2 linked regions of the Anolis sagrei genome follow. The protein of the gene in region 1 purifies or fractionates together with the protein of each later gene. This does not show direct contact. Links are inferred from orthologs where the notes say so. Each region holds a gene or a part of one and is shown on either strand. Other genes may lie near its edges.

Region 1 (11,056 bases):
ATTCCAAAAAAGGCACCAGCTTTCCCCTTATCGGTTCTAGTTTCTTGAATGCAAAACCTATGTCATTACCAGTCACCATTTGCTCACCCATAAGAAAAAAAAAACCCACATGATAACCATATCTAAGAAACTAGAGCTGATGCAGTCTATCCAATGCAATTTTCCAAATTAGCACCCCAAAAAACTAAGGAACAGACTTAACAAGCAGGACACCAAGAATGTATGTTGTTGAGCTGCAAACAAGCCCACAAAAGTCAAAACCATGAGGGATGACTGCATTCACAACAGACACCAAAACAGGCTACAGGATTGTAATGGGATCTAAAATCTACGTGGGGCTGCCTTTGAATACGGTTTGGAAACTTCAGCTAGTTCAACGGGCGGCAGCCAGATTACTAACTGGGGCGGCATACAGGGAGCATACCACCCCCCTGCTATGCCAGTTCCACTGGCTGCTGGTCCATCTCCGAGCCCAATTCAAAGTGCTGGTTTTGACCTATAAAGCTCTATACGGTTCTGGCCCAGCTTACTTGTCCAAACACATCCATACCTACATCCCACCTCATAATCTACATCATACAGGGAGGCCCTGCTCTCGCTCCCATCAACAGCACAGATGCGTCTGGCGGGGATGAGAGACAGGGCCTTCTCGGCTGTGGCCCCCCACCTATGGAACACACTCCCAAATGAGGTAAGATCTGCTCCCTCCCCCCTGGCTTTTAGAAAAAATTAAAATCATAGTTTTGGAACCAGACCTCTGGGCAGTAGAAGTAAATGTATGCAGCATTTCAGAAAGACAATGACTGGAACAGCGATTCGAAAGACGAGACTGCTTTATTGTTTTAATTATTGTTTTATTGCTCATTGATGTACTGTTTTTAACTTGATTTATGTCTAATTTTGTAGTATATAATTGTAATTGCTTGTACTGGCATTGAATTTTGCCATTACTTATGAGTCCCCCTCGGGGTGAGAAAAGCGGTATATAAATAAATAAATAAATAAATCCACTCGCCTTACAAGTCTCCAAATGAGTGCACTTAGAGCTATGTTTCTTGCACACCAACATACAACAGAGATGCCCAAATGCACTTTGAGTGACAGGTGCAGAAATGTCCTCTTATGAACATTTGATGATACCTGTGTTTACACTATGATCTTTCTGCCACTGCCAGTCTGAATGGCTCCATTATTATTATTATTATTATTATTATTACTATTATTATTATTTAGTTTATTGATACCCAGCTTTTTCTCTCCACAAGGAGACTCAAAGCAGCTTACATTAAAAGCCTTTCAATACAATACAAAATCTACAAATATATAAACAATAAACCAGAATTAAATATCATTGGTATTACAAAAATTCAGTTGAAATCCATAAAAACCAATTCAGAACTAAAAACCCTGTTCCTATCGACCCCACCTCTTAAAGCCAAGCCCCTTTCTTTCCCTCTTGCATTGTCTCCATTGTGTGCAGTAGATTCCCACTCCTCCTTCTCCAAACCCTGATTCATCTCAAGCTCTCAATTTGAGCAGAAGGAATCCAGGCTGCAATCTGGTGCATAGTTACCAGAGATTAAGCACACATTGACCAGATTTGGAGATTTATTTCCAAGCAGACAAGCGCAAGACGGCCCTATTGGAATCTGAACCTTTGGAATGACCGTTTTTGGCTTTCCTGTGCCACCATTCACACATTCATCAGAGTCAGGCACTGAATCCATTGCATTGGCAGAGGGGGCAAGAAAAAGGGTGGCGGAAGGAAATCATTCGTTTTGACAAAGCACACAATGCCATCCAGGGCCCCAGGTGAGATGGCAGTATGTGGTTATGTGTTTGTATATGTGCCATCAAGTCGCCTGTTGACTTATGACAACCTCTGAGGATGCTTGCCATAGATGCAGGCGAAACGTCAGGAGAGAATGCCTCTAGACCATGGCCATTTAGCCCGAAAAAACTTACAACAACCCAGTGATTCCGGCCATGAAAGCCTTCAACAATACCTATACATTTAAGTTTTTTTTAAGACAGGGAACCATCAGGGGTGGTTTTGCCAGTGGTTTCCTCTGAAATAAGATCTACAACACATGGAATTCATTGGTGCTCCCCATCCAAGTACTAACCAGGGCTGACCCTGCTTAGCCTCCAAGATCAGACAGAATCTGATGCCCTGGATTTGCCTATATAGGTGCTATTTTAGGCCCTTTCCACACAACTGTGTAAAATTAACATTAAACTGGATTATGAGGCAATGTAGACTCAGATAATCCAGTTCAAAGAAGATATTGTGGATTATCTGTCTTGAAAATCTGGGTTATATGGCTGTGCGGAAGGGGCCTATGAGGAAAGAAACAGCATAATCACCTGAGTGTGCCTTGCTGAGATAACACTGGGGAAATCAAGTTGAAAACACACACTTAGGCCGGATCTACACTGCCATATTATCCAGATTATCAGCACTGAACTGGATTATATTAGTCTACACTGCCATATAATCCAGTTCAAATCAGATAATCTGGATTTTATATTGCAGTGTAGATGGGGTAAATAAATAGGCACCCAATCTCCCACCCTGGACATTCCACAGATATATAAATCCAAATTTCGTAGTTTCCAACACACCTCACAACCTATGAGGATGCCTGCCATAGATGCAAAGGTTTCACTAATTTTGGAGGATTCCAGATTTCCAGATAAGCATGCTCAATTTGTATTGTCAAAGGCTTTCATGGCCGGAATCACTGGGTTGTTATAGGTTTCTTCGGGCTATATGGCCATGTTCTAGAGGCATTCTCTCCTGAAGTTTCGCCTGCATCTATGGCAAGCATCCTCAGAGGTTGCTTGCCATAGATGCAGGCGAAACGTCAGGAGAGAATGCCTCTAGAACATGGCCATATAGCCTGAAAAAATCTGCAACAATCCATTCCACAGATACATAAATCCAAATGTCATAGTTTCCAGCAGACCTCGCAACCTATGAGGATGCCTGCCATAGATGCAGGCGAAATGTCAGGAGAGAATGCTTCTAGAATAAGGAAAAATTCCCAGCAATATGTCCTCAGAATGCACTTTACTATTAGATTGGGTTGGACTGCATTCCCCTCATTTCTTTTAAAACCCTTATACCAGATATATCCTACCTTGTTCATGCCCAGTGTTTATTTTTTAAATTTTAAACTATTACATAGGTTTTTAAATCCTTGTGTGTTATTTTTTATTGTTTATATGTGATTTATATAATGTGTCCAGTTGGAATGTGTCCAGAGGAGGGCAACAAAAATGATCAAGGGTCTGGAGAACAAGCCCTATGAGGAGCGGCTTAAGGAGCTGGGCATGTTTAGCCTGAAGAAGAGAAGGCTGAGAGGAGATATGATAGCCATGTATAAATATGTGAGAGGAAGCCACAGGGAGGAGGGAGAAAGCTTGCTTTCTGCTTCCTTGGAGACTAGGACACAAAACAATGGCTTTAAACTACAAGAGAGGAGATTCCATCTGAACATGAGGAAGAACTTCCTGACTGTGAGAGCCGTTCAGCAGTGGAACTCTCTGCCCCGGAGTGTGGTGGAGGCTCCTTCTTTGGAAGCTTTTAAACAGAGGCTGGATGGCCATCTGCCAGGGGTGATTTGAATGCAATATTCCTGCTTCTTGGCAGGGGGTTGGACTGGATGGCCCATGAGGTCTCTTCCAACTCTTTGATTCTATGATTCTATATTAACCGTATTGTATTGTATTGTTTTTGTTTATTGCTTTCTTGTTTTTATTGATGTGTTGTTGGGCTTGGCCTCATATAAGCCGCTCCGAGTCCCTTGGGGAGATGGTGGTGGGGTATAAATAAAGTTATTATTATTAATATTATTATTATTACATGGCCATACAGCGCGAAAAACCTACAACAACCCAGTGATTTTGGCCATGAAAGCCTTCGACAATACATTTACACCCAATCTTATCTGATCTTGGAAGTCAAGCCATACTTGGGCTGGAGATCATCAACATAGACCAGAGAAAGGAGCTGGAGAATCCGCCTTTGAGGATAAATGTTGGGAAAAGTCAAGGAGTTGCCACAAATGGACAAGCAAGTTGAACACACACATTATACACACCCTAAAATACCCAAAAGGTCCCAGATCCTGCCTGATCTTGGAAGCTAAGCAGGGCCAGCCTTGGCTGGTACTTGGATGGGAGACCACCAACCCAGACCAGGGAGGATGTAGCAAAAAAATACCTGCTATGAATACAGAAGTGACTTGAAGGCACATGCATAAAGAGAAAGGAAGGAAGGAAGGAAGGAAGGAAGGAAGGAAGACATGTGCCCCCTCCCACTAAATGTACTGCTGCAACCAATGTATACAAAGAGAGAGAGCTTGAGAGCTCAAGTTCAAAGGCAATGCCCAACCCAGGGGCTTTGCTTGCCTGCAGCAGGACCTGATCCACTCACCAGCTGGGAGATCTGCCAAAGGAAAGCAGGAGGGAGGCGGCAGTTTAGGGCAACCGAAAAGCAGGCCACCTCCTCCCCGCGCCCCTTCCCCAGCTCGCCTTGGGGTGGGGGGGGCGTGTCACCTCCTTACCTGGAGACCTCGCTCCCCCCTCTCTCGCGCGGGGACTTGGTTCCGCCCAGGGCGCCGCCTGATGCTGTCACTGGAACAACCGGGTGGAAGCTGGGCGAGACCATTCCGCTCGAAAGGGGCGTGGCTTTGAAAAGTGGGCGAGACCATTGAAGAGACAGACAGAAAGCGGTCAGTATGTGAAAGGAGGAGGAGGGGGTTGGATGAGACCATTTGCCTTGAAGAGGGGCGTCCAGCCACATATTTTGTAAACGCGTGTTGGAGCAGCTGTTGGTGCCCCTTTCTGCAACGCCATGTGATGCAGTTTGGATTTGTGTTGTATGATCAATGTAAACCTATATAATGCAGTCTATTATATGGGTCCAAACTAATCACATAATGCAGATTCAAACTGCATTATGGGGCAGTGTAGATGGGACCTGAGTCAGAGTAAATGAAGACCATAATATTTATTTATTTATTTATTTATTTAAAAGTTTTGCATACCGGCCTTCTCACCTCTCTTGATATTTCCAACCATAATATCACATACAGTCAATAAAACATAATAATACATATTACAGTAAAACATTAAAACAGCAATTACAATCAATAACTATAATGGTCAGTCGTCACACTAAAATCGTTGCTCATCATCCTCCATCCATATCTCAGGGTGTTGGCTCACTCGTCAAATGCCTGTCTCCATAACCAAGTCTTCACCTGTTTCCTAAATGTCAGGATAGACGGGGTGGTTCTGATCTCCAGTGGGAGAGAGTTCCAGAGTCGAGGGGCCACCACCGAGAAGGCCCTGTCCCTCGTCCCCACCAGACACGCTTGCGAGGCCGGTGGGACTGAAAGCAGGGCCTCTCCAGACGATCTTAATAATCTTGATGGTTCGTAAGGGAGAATATGTTCGGAGAGGTAAATAGGGCCGGAGTCGTTTAGGGCTTTGTAGGTCAAAACCAGCACTTTGAATTGTGCTCGGAAGCTATTCGGCAGCCAGTGGAGCTGGCGTAACAGAGGGGTTGATTGCTCCCTGTACCCAGCACCCGTTAGTAGTCTGGCTGCCGAGCGTTGGACTAGCTGCAGCTTCCGGGCAGTCTTCAGAGGCAACCCCACGTAGTGAGCGTTGCAGTAGTCTAAACGGGATGTAAACAAAGCGTGGACCACCGTGGCCAAGTCAGACTTCCCAAGGTACGGGCGCAGCTGACGCACAAGTTTTAATTGTGCAAAAGCTCCCCTGACCACCGGCGAAATCTGGGGCTCCAGGCTCAGCGATGCATCTAGAAGAACTCCCAAACTGCGAACCTGTGCCTTCAGGGGGAGTGTGACCCCATCCAGCACAGACTGTAACCCTATACCTTGTTCGGCCTTTCGACTGACCAGGAGTACCTCTGTCTTGTCTGGATTAAGTTTCAATCTGTTGTCCCTCATCCAGTCCGTTACAGCGGCCAAGCACCGGTTCAGGACTTGGACAGCCTCCTTAGTAGAAGGTGGAAAGGAGTGACAGAGTTGGACATCATCTGCATACAGATGACACCGTACCCCGAAACTTCGGATGATCTCTCCCAACGGCTTCATGTATATGTTAAACAACATAGGGGACAATATTGAGCCCTGCGGGACTCCACAGTGCAATGGCCGAGGAGTCGAGCAGGAGTCCCCTAGTGACACCTTCTGGGAGCGACCCTCGAGAAAGGACCGGAGCCACTGCAAGGCAGTACCCCCAAGACCCATTCCTGCGAGGCGTCCCAGAGGGATACCGTGGTCGATGGTATCGAAGGCCGAAGAGAGGTCCAGTAGAACCAACAGGGACACACTCCCCCTGTCCAGTTCCTGGCGAAGATCATCCACTAAGGCGACCATGTCCCGGCCTAAAGCCAGACTGCGCTGGATCTAGATAGTCCATGTCTACCAGGAACTCCTGGAGTTGCGAGGCCACCACACGTTCCAGGACTTTGCCCAAATAGGGGAGATTGGAAACTGGCCGAAAGTTGATGAATTGAGTGGGGTCCAGTGATGGTTTTTTTCAACAGCGGTTTAATAACAGCTTGTTTTAAGCTGGCTGGAATATTGCCTTCCCGAAGGGAGGCATTAACCACCACCTTTACCTGCTCTGCCAAACCCCCTCTGGCTTCTTTTACCAGCCAGGAAGAGCAGGGGTCTAGGATGCATGTGGTGGGCCTCGCCTCCCCAAGAACCCTGATGACCTCGTCGAGTTGAACAGATGGAAAGGAATCCAACAAAACTGGACAAGCAGATGCTTGTGTTACATCCTCAGAGACTGCCGTTAATGTGGTGTCAAAGCCCAAATGGATCAAAGCGACTTTGTCCGCAAAGTACTGAGCAGAGGCTTCACAGCGAGCTGCCGAGTCGTCAGGGGACCCATCTCGCAAGGTGGGATTCAACAACCCTCTAATAATAATAATAATAATAATAATAATACTTTATTTGTACCCCGCTACCATCTCCCCAAGGGACTCGGTGCGGCTTACATGAGGCCAAGCCCACAGCACATCAGTAAACAGAACATCAATAAAAGAAAACATCAATAAACAATCAATGCAATATAAATCATAATCACATAAACAATACAGACAATAAGCAATCAACAGTAACATATAAACATTTAAAACCAAAGGCCGGGCCAAATGTGATAGATTAAAATTAAAAAAACAGTGCTGATGTGAACCAGGTAGGGTATAATTGGGATAGGATTTTTAGAGAGAATGAGAGAGTGCAGTCAATCCTGAAGCAGTAGTAAAGTGCATTTTGAGGACATAATGCTGAGAGTTTTCCTTATTCTGGGAAGGCACACTGGAACAACCACGTTTTCAAGCTCCTCCTAAAGACTGCCATAGTTGGGGCATGTCTGATGTCTCTGGGAAGTGAGTTCCAGAGTCGGGGGGCCACCACCGAGAAGGCCCTCTCCCTCGTCCCCACCAATCGCGCCTGCGAAAGAGGCTGGAGCATGAGCAGGGCCTCTCTAGATGATCGAAGAGATCGTGTAGGTTCATATACAGAAATGCAGTCACGCAGGTAGGCGTGTCCCAAACCGTTCAGGGCTTTGTAGGTAAGATCCTGCACCTTGAATTGGGTTCGGAAAATGAAAGGCAGCCAGCTTTCATTGGAGCTCCTTAAACAGGAGGGTTGACCGCTCCCTGTAAAGAGCACCAGTTAGTAATCTGGCTGCTGCCCGTTGTACCAATTGGAATTTCCGGGCCATTTTCAAGGGCAGCCCCACGTAGAGTGCATTACAGTAGTCCAATCTGAAGGTGACTAAGGCATGGACCACCCTGGCAAGATCCACCTTCACGAGGTACTGTCGCAGCTGGCGCACAAGTCTTAATTGTGCAAAGGCGGCCACCGCTGACGCCTGAGCTTCAAGCATGAGTGATGAGTCCAGGAGGACACCCAGACTGCGGACCTGCGATTTCAAGGGGAGTGTAACCCCATCCAGCACAGGTTGCCACCCTATACCCCGATCCGGTTTACGATCGGCCAGGAGGACCTCTGTCTTGTCGGGATTGATCCTCAACTTGTTCCTCCTCATCCAGCCAGCCACAGCAGTCAGGCACTCATCAAGCACCCGAGGGGCTTCCTTGGAGTTAGGTGGAAAAGAATAGTAGAGTTGTGTGTCATCTGAATAGAGATGGCACCCAACTCCAAAACTCCGGAGGACCTCTCCCAGCGGTTTCATGTAGATGTTGAAAAGCATGGGAGACAGAATGGAGCCTTGCGGGAGCCCACAGGTCAAAGGCCAGGGGTCCAAGCAGGCATCTCCCAGCTTCACCATCTGGGATCGACCCTCCAGGAAGGATCGGAGCCACGACAAAACCGTGTCCCTGAGACCCATCCCAGAGAGACGTCCCAGAAGGATACCATGATTGATGGTATTGAAAGCCGCTGAGATATCCAAGAGAACCAACAGGGTCACATTCCCCCTGTCCAGCTCCCTGCGGAGGTCATCCACCAAGGCGACCAAAGCCTCTCGGTGCCATGACCAGGCCTGAAGCCAGACTGTGACTGATCCAGATAGCTGATGTCATCCAGGAAACACTGGAGCTGAGAGGCGACCACCTGTTCCAACACCTTTCCCAAGAAAGGGAGGTTGGAGATTGGTCTATAATTGTTGGCCTGATAAGTGTATCATGTCCAAATTTGGTGTCAATTCGCCCAGTGGTTTTTGAGTTATGTTAATCCCACAAACGAACATTATATTTTTATTTATATAGATATATATGATTTATTGCTTATCTTATGTAGATCCAAAGGTTTCTCGGTATGTTTGCACAACACAGCTACACACTGCAGGCAGCACACAGACGTGTCACAACACACAGTTCGGAAAGCTCTCATTTAGAGAGTTACCCCCGCTGGGCTTATGCCACAATAAATGTGTCTTTAAGATTAATTTTTTTGGCTGTCGCTGCACCTCTAGTAAATCTATCAATCCCTTCACCCGAAACACTGGAGTAAAAGCAACATCTATCTTCCTTACAGGGTTGTTGTAAGGCAACATCGTCTTGCATTCAGTATACACAAATGTAGAGTCACTCCCAGGTTTCTTCTCAGAATATTGTAGCACTCCCCAAATGAGGCAGCTAGAATTATTTGTTAAGCAATACAAAAATGAATTATTCATATACACTCATGTATAAGTCTAGTTCATGTATAAGTCAAAGGCAGGTTTAAGGGCCAAAATGATGGATTTTAATATGACCCATAGATACGTTGAGGGTCATTCAGAGACGGGTGAGCACCAATGCCATCTCAGGGATCCAGCTGCCCAAGGACATTTCCCTACCCTAGCATTCAAAAAGGCCATTCACCTTTCTACTGGCTGGCACAACCTGGGGATCACAACCAGATACAGTGAAGACATCTTCCCTTGCGCTGTGCTACTCTGCTGCTGAGTATGCATGCCCAGTGTGGAACACATCTCACCACGCTAAAACAGTGGATGTAGCTCTTAATGAGACCTGCCGCATTATCACAGGGTGTCTGCACCCTACACCACTGGAGAAATTACACTGCTTAGCCATTATTGCACCACCTGACATCCGCCGGGAAGTAGCAGCCAATAGTGAAAGGACCAAGGCAGAGACATCTCCAGCTCATCCCCTGTTTGGGTATCAGCCAGCACGTCAACGACTTAAATCTAGAAATAGTTTTCTAAGATCTACAGAGACACTCGCTGGAACACCTCAGCAAGTGAGAGTCCAAAAGTGGCAGGCTCAAACACAGAACCTCAACCAATGGCTGACACCAAATGAGACTCCCCCCTGGGCACACAGAAGACTGGGCAACTTGGAAGGCGCTGAACAGACTGCGCTCTGGCACCACAAGATGCAGAGCCAACCTTCAGAAATGTGGCTACAAAGTGGAATCCTTGACATGCGAGAGTGGAGAGGAGCAAACCACTGACTACCTGCTGCAATGCAACCTGAGCCCTGCCACATGTACAATGGAGGACCTTCTTGCAGCAACACCAGAAGCACTCCAAGTGGCCAGATACTGGTCAAAGGACATTTAATCAGCTACCAAACTCACAAATGTTGTATTTTGTCTGTTTGTTTGCTTTGTTCTGTTAGAAATGTAATATAATTGGCTGGTTGCCCTGACACGACAAATAAATAAATCTCTCTACTCAAAGAAGAAGATTGTTCTCATTTAAAATAAGCTAAGGTACAGTTAAGTTAAGGTACTGACCTTGAAGGAGCTGGGAGTGGTGACGGCCGACAGGGAGCTCTGGCGTGGGCTGGTCCATGAGGTCATGAAGAGTCGGAGACAACTGAACAAATGAACAACAAACAACAAGGTACAGTAAATAATAAAGGAACTGACCCCTTTTCTGAATGGCAAAAAGTGAGCATTTAGTTCTGGGGGAACCTAAAAGAAGCACAAACTCTCTTGTCTAACCTTAAAAGCCATTACCCCTGCCATCATTTTCCTGCTCAGGAATGCAAAAAAGCCACAAGTGACACTGAGGAGGAGAGAGTAGTGGATAAGTCAACCCAGGTTTTGGGGTTGATTTTTTGATTTAAAAAAAATCTCTGGACAGTACTTTACTGCTATTGTGAAGAGTAAAATAATCATATTGAGAAAGGTGCTAGTATGAATACAAGTGTGTAGGCAAGGTGGCGAAGAGTAAGACACACAGCAACCTTGTTATATGCCTCAAGGAGGTGGTAAGAATAGCTCTCTAACAGGTCCCACATATTTTAAAAAATAACGCAGATCTGTGAATTGGGTGGAAGTCTGAGAAAAAGTGTGGGAAGACCAAGATGCTACTGAAAAATGACAGAGGCGGACCTCAAACTATGGATATCTATGCTGCAGAATTAATACACTTGGATACCACTTTAACTGTTGCATCCTTTGGGCACATCTTGTCTCATGATATGCTGTTGTGGGATGCTTTCGACTATTTTCCTATAGCCAAGGAAATAGGGAATGTAAGACCTTCAGCTTTGAGTTTCCTTCAGGAGAGATAAAGCAGGATA
Region 2 (11,345 bases), about 28 Mb from region 1:
ATGTGAGTGAGAGTCGTAGTGCTTGATCCTTACTGAGAGGGAAGGTAGAACCAACAAACAAACTAAGGATGCAATTCTCTGCCTATTCTACACATATGGAAAGCATAACTGAAACTCAGTGGAATACTTCCAAGTAAACTTACATCAATTAACAATCCATGCAGAATGCAACATATAATTATTTTGTAGTCCTGCCTATATCACTTGAGGTACTTTATAAATGAAAACAGACATTATCCTAACATTAAGTTTATCTTTTGCTTATTAGCCAAGGCTACTGTGAACTACTTCAACTAAAGTTGTACATTACCTCTCCTCTCTCGTTGCATTCGCCCGCCTCCTCCAAAGAACATATCAAATATATCCATGGGTGACCCAAAGCTGCTTCCAGTACCACCCTCTTTAATGGCTTGTTCACCACCTTTATCATACAAATCTCTTTTCTTGATGTCAGAAAGAACTTCATAAGCTTGAGAAATCTGTTTGAACTACAAGAACAAAAAGAACAAAAATCAGAGAAATCTTATTTTACAGAAAGTAATTTATATCACTATAATATTTACTTTGTACCACTATAACTGCTTAAGGGCAAGGAAGTGGCTAGAGATTAATAGCATACCATTTAGCAAAATTAGTTCTCGGCGTTAAGTCGTCTATGCTAAAACCCAACCTGCAATTTTTGAAGTAAAAATCATAGAGTGCAGCTGCACCATGACATTTACAAAAGGTGAAAACAAATTCAGGATCCTGCTTTTCCCCAGGTGTTCCCATGTTAACAGGGAAATTCTGAAGTGGAGATATGAATACCATTAAAATTTGAAAAGAGCTATTAAGCTTCTCAGGTTCTGAAAATAATATTGATATATTAGAATCCAACCCATTCACAAAAATGAGGCAAAGTCCGAACGAGACAATACAGAACCATCTACTAAGCTAATAAGCAAAATATTTAGGAGGGAGTGAGCTTGCACACTTGCCTTTTCACCTTCATTTGGATTCTTATCAGGGTGGTATTTCAATGCCAGTTTCCTATAAGCTTTTTTCAGTTCCTCTTGGGACGCATTGGGTTTTACCCCAAGCACATCATAGTATGTAGTCTCCTTCACCATGGTGCAATAGATACCTGGAAGGGGAAAGATGAAAATTAAAACTAGAAAAGGAATGCAAAATTTATGATGTCATGAGTTCAGCCCACTTCCTTATTTCCTCAAAGACTGTGCCCATAAAGAGACCTCTGGTGAGACCAAACTTGTATCTTCTTGCGCTGCCTCACTCTGCGCACCAATTACTCTGGATTATCTACACCAGAGCTTTCCAAACTGTTTAGTATGTCGGCTGTCATGTGTAGATGTGTAACGCAAACATAATGAGAAATGACATACAGTAAATCTTGGAAATGTATGTCATCTTACAAATCATATATACATTTTTAAAAATATACAAACAGAAGCTTTTCATGTGATATGTTGTGTCCCCCATACTTTCCTTTATTACAATATATGTGTGTGTCTTTATCTCCTTTTTTTTAACATTTTAATTGATTTTCAGAAAGAAACAAAAGCATACTACACCATAAAATACAAAGAAAACACAACACACAAAACAATCAATCATAACATAATCCAAATAAACTATAACTACAAAAACAATACTTCCTTCCTTTCGAGGTTGAAATTTTTCCTAAGTCTTCTTGCATCCCATTTAGGAAAAAGCAGAATCTTAAATCTTAAATAGCCAATACTTATTTTTATTCACAGAGATGACTTATTCCTTCAAGTATTTATCTACATTCTCCCACTTTTCAGCACCTTGCTTAGAGACCCCCCCCCCCTTCATTGTTCTAGTAAATTTGTCATTTCCATGGCTTCTCTTAATTTCAGTTGTCAATCATAGATTAGAAGGTACTCCCGTTATTTTCCACTTTTTTGCCAATACTATCCTTGCTGTTGTAATCACATACATGATGATAATCCTTACAGGTTTATTCATTTGTATTGTTATTATTTTATTATTATTATAGCCCGCTTTATCTCCACAAAGGGGATTCAAAGTGGCTTGAGCAGTAGTATTAGTACACAATTTAAAATGTACAAATATATACACATTAAAACAAAAACACAGGTAGCACTAAAAAAATACATTAAAATCCATAAAAACATATTCAAAGTTTAAAACCACAGCACCCCATAACTAAATCTTAAAAACCTTCTTTAAAAACCTGCCTGATTCAGAAGGTTTTAGCCTGCCACCAGAAGGACAGCAGGGAGGGGACCATTCTGGCTTCCCTAGGAAGAAGGGAGATCCAGAGTATTGAAGCACCCACCTACGGAGAAGGAAGGCCCACTCTCTCTGAGCTTCAGATGGAGGTGGGACTGAGGCCCCTTCCACACAGCTGAATAAAATCCCACATATATTCCCTGTTCTCAACTGGAATATATGGCAGCGTGGACTCAGATAACCCAATTCAAAGCACATATTGTGGGGTATTGTGCCTTGATAGTCTGGGTTATATAGCCATGTGGAAGGGCCCCGAGAGATGGGCCTCTCTTGAAGATCTCAAGGCTGGGGCAGATTCATACAAGGGTATGCAGCTGGCCAAATAGCCTGGACCTGAACTGTTTAGAGCTGTGGTTCTTAATCTGTGGGTTCCCAGGTGTTTTGGCCTACAACTCCCAGAAATCCTAACAGTTGGTAAACTAGCTGGGATTTCTGTGAGTTGTGGGCCAAAACACCTGAGGACCCACAGGTTGAGAACCACTGGTCTAGGGCTTTAAAGGTCTACATCTACCAGCACTTGCTGTTGTTGTCACATACATCAGGCATGGGAAACCTTTGGCCCTCCAGGTGTTTCAGACTTCAACCACCACCATTTCGAACAGCCATAAACTGCTAGGAATTTGGGAGTTGAAATACAGAACACCTGGAGGGCCAAAGATTGCCCATGCCTGCCATACATGATGATTCTCCTTGTAGGTTTATTGATTTGTACTCTTATCATGTTGAGAAGGTGCCTGTATTCTCTTCAACGGGATTGGTTTACCTCTAGTTAGCTATTAAAAACAGAACAACTGTGTTGCGAAATGATGCTGTGACTAAAGAAATGTTGGGAAAGCGGTGCTTCAGGCAAACCAAGTTTGCCCCTCATTGCTTCTCTTTCCAGCCCCACCTGATAATAGAGCCACTGGAGCCTCCGTGGAAAAAAACACCCCCTAACTCTTTTCTTGTGTCAAATAGCAATTAGAATAAGGGCCCTTCCACACAGCCATATGATCCAGAATACCAGTTCAAAGCAGATCTTGTGGGGTTTCCTGCCTTGATATCCTGGGTCCTGCAATACGGCTGTGTGGAAGGGCCCTGAGTCCACACTGCCATATATTCCAGTTCAAAGCAGACATTGTGAGGTTTCCTACCTTGATATCCTGGGTCCTGCAATATGGCTGCGTGGAAAGTACCCTGAGTCCACACTACCATATATTCCAATTCAAAGCAGAAAACGTGGGATTTTATTCAGCTGTGTGTGGAAGGCTCCCAACTTTACAAGGGGGGGGGGGTCTTCTTCCCCACAGACTGTTATGTAAAAGGGCCTCCCTCGCTCCATCACGTGACACAGAAGGGGCACCCACTGCAGTCCCATTTGCAGGGGTCCCTTGTGTGGAGGGCGCTGTCTCCCACTCCACGACTCCGCTTTCTTTCTCTCCCCCCCCCCTTCCCTCACCCACGAAGGCCCGACTTCCCTTCCCTTCTCCTTCCCTCCCTCCCGCCAAATCCCCTTCTCTGCCTTCTCTCAGAACCCGGAGTCAGCTGACCTAACCGTCGCGCGCTCCCCCCTCCCTCCCTCCCTCCCTCTCTCTCCCGCGCGCCCTCTCTTTGTGGAGAACTAGAGGAGGGGGGGGGAAGGTAGCTGAGGAGACCCCTCCCCCACCCCCAACCCCAACCCCACCCCCACCCCACCCGGCTTTTCCTTTGTCCCTCACTCACTCGCGCTTTCGACCCAAACGCAGGCTTACAATGAAAGCAGCCCTGTCTTCTCTTTCTCTATCTCTCTCTCTCTCTTCTAACAGCCGGCTCGAGCCTCCTCTCCTTCTTCCTTCTCCTTCTCGCGCTGACTTTTTCTGGAAAGTTCCGAGCCGGTCTCAGGCTAGGCTAGGCAGCATCCGGGGAGTTTCCTTTCCCTTTCAAGAAAGCCCCGCCCTCCTCTCCAGGCGCTGCTATTGGCCAGCTTTCTCGCAAACCGTGGCATACCCCCAATCATAAGCCTCCCTGGCCGTGACGTCGCCCGCCGGGGACTACAAATCCCGGCATGCCTCCTCTCCCCCGTGAATACCTTTCTTTGGCCCTGTCAGAAAGACTTCGACGTCCAGAATGCAACGCGCCTCACAAAGAAGTCTGGCTTCATTGCAGGTGGCGTGGTCTTATTAACAAGGGTAGTTTTACTCACCTTTCAGGCGAATCTAAGGGCTCTTCCATACAGCCATACAACATATTTATTTATTTACGACCAGCCGTTCCCTGCCACGCGTTGCTGTGGCCCACTCTGTATATATGTGTATATGTGATTTTGCACCTGCATTATAATTTTTTAATTTTTTTCCCTGTTTTATGTCTCTTCTGTGTTTTTCAGTGTTTTTTATGAGTATTGGTCACTTGTTGGCCTGATAAGTATATTGTGTCCAAATTTGGTGTCAATTCATCCAGTGATTTTTGAGTTATGTTAATCCCACAAACGAACATTACATTTTTATTTATATAGATATGTATATGCCGCCCTTCTCGCCCCGAAGGGGACTAAGAGCAGCTTGCTATATATTGTTGTTGTTGTTGTTCATTCGTTCAGTCGTCTCCGACTCTTCGTGACCTCATGGACCAGCCCACGCCAGAGGTCCCTGTCGGCCGTCACCACCCCCAGCTCCTTCAAGGTCAGTCCAGTCACTTCAAGGATGCCATCCATCCATCTTGCCCTTGGTCGGCCCCTCTTCCTTTTGCCTTCCACTTTCCCCAGCATAATTGTCTTCTCTAGGCTTTGCTGTCTCCTCATGATGTAGCCAAAATACTTCAACTTTGTCTCTAGTATCCTTCTCTCCAATGAGCAGTCGGGCTTTATTTCCTGGAGGATGGACTGGTTGGATCTTCTCACAGTCCAAGGCACTCTCAGAACTTTCCTCCAACACCACAGTTCAAAAGCATCGATCATCCTTCGCTCAGCCTTCCCGAAGGTCCAGCTCTCACATCCGTAGGTGACTACAGGGAATACCATGGCTTTGACTAGGCGGATCTTTGTTGCCAGTGTGATGTCTCTACTCTTTACTATTTTATCAAGATTGGACATTGCTCTCCTCCCAAGAAGTAAGTGTCTTCTGATTTCCTGGCCACAGTCTGCGTCTGCAGTAATCTGTCACGGCCTCCACATTTCCTCCCTCTATTTTCCAGTTGTCAATCATTCTTGTTGCCATAATCTTGTTGCAATATATATAGATATATATACACAATATATATATTATATTATTAGCATAGTACAATACCAGTATTATGGCCCCTGCCACACAACTATATAAAATCCACATTGAACTAGGTTATAGGGCAGTGTGGACTCAGGCCTCTTCCCCAGCAGAATAAAATCCCACATTATCTGCTTTGCACTGGGATATGTGGCAGTGTGGACTCCAGATAACCCACTAAAGCAGATATTGTGGGATTTTCTACCTTGATATTCTGGGTTATATGGCTGTGTGGAAGGGCCCCCAGAATATCAAAATCCCACAATAACTCCTTTGAACTGGGTTATCTGAGTCCACACTGCCATATAACCCACCCAGATCAAAGCAGACAATGTGGGATTTTATATAGCTGTATGCAAGGAGCCTAAGGTCCATACAATCCAGAATATCAACTCAGATGATCTACAATATCTGCTTTGAACTAAAATATCTGACACACTGTCATACACAATCATAGAGTTGGAAGAGACCTCATGGGCCATCCAGTCCAACCCCCTGCCAAGAAGCAGGAAAACTGCATTCAAAGCACCCACGACAGATGGCCATCCAGCCTCTGTTTAAAAAGCCTCCAAAGAAGGAGCCTCCACCACACAGAGAGTTCCACTGCTGAACGGCTCTCACAGTCAAGAAGTTCTTCCTAAATTTCAGATGGAATCTCCTTTCTTGTAGTTTGAAGCCATTGTTCCGCGACCTAGTCTCCATGGTAGCAGAAAACAAGCTTGCTCCCTCCTTCCTATGACCTCCGCTCACGTATTTATACATGGCTATCATGTCTCCTCTCAGCCTTCTCTTCTTCAGACTAAACATGCCCAGCTCTTTAAGCTGCTCCTTTAAGCCTGCTTGTTCTCCAGACCCTTGATCATTTAGTCACCCTCCTCTGGACACATTCCAGCTATATGTGTATTTTATACAACTATGTAGAATGAGCCTCAAATGTCTGCCGTTAAACGCCAAAATTCATTTTGGAGGCTCTTGCCTTTATTAGGCCAACCAGCAATATTTCCTACAATGTTGTTCATTCGTTCAGTCATTTCCAACTCTTCATGACCTCATGGACCATCCCACGCCAGAGCTCCCTGTCAGCCGTCACCACCCCCAGTTCCTTCAGAGTCAAGCCAGTCACTTCAAGGATGCCATCCATCCATCTTGCCCTTGGTCGGCCCCTCTTCTTTTTTCCTTCCATTTTCCCCAGCATCATTGTCTTCTCTAAGCTTTCCTGTCTCCTCATAATGTGGCCACAATACCTAAGAGTATTTTCTAATTTGGCATTTTCTTCCATACACACTACTCAGTGCATTTATATTCCAACTCATCCATTATCATAGTATAGTATTATTAATATTATATTTGTTTCTACCCAGCTTTATCTCTCCCAAAGGGGACTCAAAGTGGCTTGATATAAAAGCATTAGTACAGTACACAATTTCAAATATACAAATATTCAAATATTAAAACGGAATTAAATATAAACAGTATTAAAATTCACAATTAAAAACCATTCAGCATATTCAATAATTTTATTTAATAATTGTATTCAATACATAATATATTCCTAAGGCAGTAATATACTAATATTATATTCCCATAAACTAGCTTGGGTACCTGGCATTGCCTGGGTTATTTGAAAAAGTCAATTTTTAAGTTATACAAAGTGCATAAGGTTGTGGGTGAACTACAACTCACAGCATGCCAGGTTAACCCCGAAAATCTCCATCAGTACTTAACGTTTGTTATGTTGGGCAAGTTTACTCTAGATGCATCATCGGTGGGGTTCAGTGTGCTCTCTGGCTGCAGCATAAACTACACCTCCCACTATGGTGAGTCTGTACCCTCAAACCCCTCCAGTAGGTTGAGTTAGTCATGGGGGTTCTGTGTGTCAAGTTCAGGTCCATTATCGGTGGAGGTCACTATTTCTCTGGTTGTGGGTGAATGACATCTCCTAGAAAGGAAGGTCAGTTTCCCCCCCCCCCCCCCCCGCGCTCTCCCCACCTCTCCAATAATCAAATTTCGGCATATTGGGTATGTGCCAAGTTTGGTCCAGATCGATCAGTGTTTGGGTTCACTGTGCTCTCTGAATATAGGTGAACTACAACTCCCTCAAATCAATGTTAATTTTTCCCAAAGACCTCCAGTATTTTTATTTATTTTTTTGCTGGAAATGGGGGCTGTGTGTCAAGTTTTGTCCAATTCCATCTTTGGTGGAGTTCAGAGTGCTAACTGATTGCAGGTGAACTATAAATCCCGGTACCTACCAACTCCAAAATGGCTAGGCCAATTCCCCTCAAAACCCACCAGTATTCAAATCTGGGAATATAGGGTACGCATGCCAAGTCTGGTCCAGATCCAACTCCTATAAATCCCTCCAAAGACCTCCAGTATTTTTTGTTTGTTGTGAGGGTTCTGTGTGTCAAGTTAGTTCCAGGTCCGTCTGTAGTGGAGTTCAGAGTGCTCTTAGATTGCAGGTGAACTATACATCCCAGTACCTACAACTAATAACTCATGGTGAATTCTCCCCAGACCTCTCTAGTATGTTCAGTTGCTGATCAATTCCTCTGTTTGATGTGTGCCATAGAAAATAATAGGAAATAGTTAAGGGAGATGCAGTGGGCAGGGTCATGCAAATTCCATACCAATGGAGAGAGTAAGAAACACTGGGATGTCTCTGGAGGAAGAAACACGTAAACTCTAGAATGAAATTGTCCCCATATGAAAGCCTTCACTTGGGCGGTAGGCAGTATGGTGTTTGTGGAGGACATTGGCATGGCTCTTGTATATATTCACGGCACTCACTATAAACTGCAATGTAATTGAAGGGACGGCTTTTGGTGTCTCCTGAGTAGTGGGAGCTATAGCTGTTTGTGGAGTCAGGACTTGTCTGTGTAAGTGGACACCCCAGCCGAACACATATACATATTTTCACTTTTATTATGTGTATAGATAGAAGATAGAAGATGTTATTGTATTAACAGTGTGACTCAGGCCTAATTGGATCTGAGGTCCTTCTACACTGCCATTTAATCCAGTTTCCAAATCCAGATTATCTGCTTTGAATTTAATTGTATGGCAGTTAGTTCCAGGTCCATTGTTAGTGGAGTTCAGAGTGCTCTTAGATTGCAGGTGAACTATACATCCCAGTATCTACAACTCCTATCCAGCCTCAATTCTTTTGTTGAGTGAGATTCTGCACCGAAACAGACAAAACACTATTAATTCCAGTTGACCTGTGGCCAGTCTAGTTTTCATAACAAGCTCATTAAAATCTAGATCCGTTTGAATTGATCCTCATTGAATATTGCAAGTGCAGAACTCTTAAGCAGGTACAAGATTAGACTAGCCTAGATTAATTATTATTTTCAGTATTTCAGGAGCTGGGCTCCACTGTTCAGTTTAATTCAGAAAGGAAATAATATGTTGAAATAATTCTTAGTAAGATGAAAATTATCTCCATTTTGATTTATGCCAAAAGAGAGACGTCTGTAATAATTAAGTTGTTACAGATGGTCCCCAAATTGTGAACTAGATAGGTTCTGTAGTTTTGTTATTAAGTTGAATTTCTATGTAGGAACAGATACAGTACATTTTAGTGTAACTCCGGCTGTGTGTGTGTGTGTGTGTGTGTTAGCCTTGGATAGCATAGGGAAGGGTTAATACCCTTGTGCCCCTGTTCAGAGGATTTCATCTCACTTTCTGTCCCTGTGATAACTGAATTTTGAAACATTTGGCTTGTTATGGAAACAAGGATTGGTCATAAAGCTTCAGTTGAGACAATCCCCCCCCCCCCAATGATAACCCTTTCAGGAGTGAATTTCCCTTTCTAGGGGTAGATTTCTCATTTCCTGTTGTCTCACCCCCCGTTTGCACCTATGAGTCATTTGTTAGTTGAATGTTTGTAACTCGGGGACTGCCTGTATTGGTGTTTTAAATTGAATAAAGTTAACATATATTAAAATAGACAAGTTTGTCCATGATTTTATGCCTGCCCTCCTTCTATGTCTGCACTTTGAGCTCTGGAGCAAAGAAAGATTATGATCTTTTCCCCTTTGAGGATGCATCTACACTCTAGTATTAATTCAACTTGACCCCAATTTTGCTGACATGGCTCACTGTTGTGGGATCCTGGGATTTGTAGTTTGTGGATGGACAATACCCTTTGCAAAGAAGGCCAAAGACCTTATAACTATATAACCCCCTTGATTACATAGCAGTGACCCATGGCAATTAAAGTGGGGTCAAACTGCATTAAATCTACAATGTAGATGCATTCTCAATTGGGTTTCCACAAGGTTCTGTAGTTGTCCCTTGTTATTTTCTTCATGTATTATCTTTGAGTAATCTTATTTGTTCTTATGAGTTTTAGTAATGCTAATTTTTTCAGTTGTAGAACTTACTTCTGAGATTGAACATCAGCCTTTCTTTCATCCATCTCAGCATGGATGTTTCACTGCCACCTAAAACTTAATATGGCAAAGACAAAAAACTTGTTTTTCTCTCAAAGCCTTATTTGAGACATACAGATTAAATCACTGTTAATAATATCCCTGTATATTTTGGAAAAGAAGCATTTGGCCTTGGTTTTATTTTTTGCTTTTTCTTTGTCCTTTGTTCCTCAGATTGAGGCTGTAGGAAAGTCATGTGGCTTTTTTCTGTTATGATATTGCCAATCAGACCTTTTCTGCTTTATTCCTCTATAAAGGAATATTTGTATGTTTTGGTTATTTTTCAGGCAGTTTTTCAATATTTCGCTCCAGCAACTGAAGAGGAAGCAGGAAGCCATTTAGCTCAAGGTAAGCCTTGTCCTTTAGAGTGCATTAGAAAGCTGAGTGTTTTGTTTGTCTCTTGTTTAAAGGCTGGGTACTTGTTTATAAGGTGGTGAGTGTGTTGTTTAAGGCTTTGTGGCTGTTCTGGTGTCTAGCGACCCAATACCTCTGCTTGAGACCCTGTGCTTGAGACCCTGTGTTTGAGGGGGGTGGAACTTTGGCTTTGTGCTTGAGAGACAGAGCTTATGCACCACAATTAAAAAGAGATACTGACAAGTTGGAAGGTGTCCAGAGGATGGGAACTAAAATTATTAAAGGCCTGGAGACCATGAATCTCTATGAGAAGTGTTTTAAAGAGCTGGGTATGTTTAGCCTGCAGAAGAGAAGATTGAGAGGAGACATGATTGCCATGTTTAAATATCTGAAAGAAGGAGCAGGCTTGTTTTCTGCCTCTCTGGAAACTAGGACTCGGAGCAATGGGTTCAAATTACAGAAAAGGAACATTAGGAAGAACTTCCTGACTGTAAGAGCTGCTCAGCAGTGGAACTCTCTGACTCGAAGTGTAATGGTGACTCTGTCTTTGTAGGCTTTTAAACAGAGTCTGGATGGCCATCTGTCAGGGATACTTTGTGCTTTTCCTGCATGGCAAGGTGTTGGACTAGATGGCCCATGTGGTTTCTTCCAACTCTGTTACTTGATTCTAATGTAATCATCTTTCACCTGATCTTTCAGCTCATCTTAACCCACTGTTTTCTGATCTATATTCAAATGCTAAAATTATTTTTGGCCTATTGTTTTGATCATGTTACATAACTTTTTATATTTCTTAATTGATTGCCCAGTTCATTTAGGATTCAAATACAAGCTTCTTAGCCGAACTCTTAAAGCCTACATGACCCAGTTCCCCACTATCTCTCAGCCCTTGTATTTACCAGTCTGCTCAGGATCTAAATGCTAGGAACTCATGGCTTCTCACTCAGACAGGGATTTCTTCTTCCTTCACTAAGCTTTCTATTTTTTTTAATTTATTGCTCCAAATTTCTGGAATTGTTTCCCTGAATCTTTATGGATTGCTCCTTCACTCCCTGTGCTT

The links.
Region 2: the proteins of HDAC6 (region 1) and DNAJA1 purify together in Homo sapiens (affinity purification with mass spectrometry; 4 studies listed by BioGRID and IntAct, with this or other methods). This does not show direct contact. The link is inferred for Anolis sagrei from reciprocal best matches to the Homo sapiens genes HDAC6 and DNAJA1.

What each region holds. Positions count from the first base shown.
Region 1 is NC_090022.1:178,367,833-178,378,888, forward strand, and holds the start of HDAC6 (histone deacetylase 6), read right to left. Parts: upstream 4,736-11,056; 5' UTR 4,719-4,735; coding exon 4,572-4,718; intron 4,535-4,571; exon of another isoform or gene 4,442-4,534; intron 1-4,441.
Region 2 is NC_090022.1:150,547,721-150,559,065, forward strand, and holds the start of DNAJA1 (dnaJ homolog subfamily A member 1), read right to left. Parts: upstream 4,174-11,345; 5' UTR 3,979-4,173; intron 1,124-3,978; 5' UTR 1,110-1,123; coding exon 978-1,109; intron 489-977; coding exon 311-488; intron 1-310.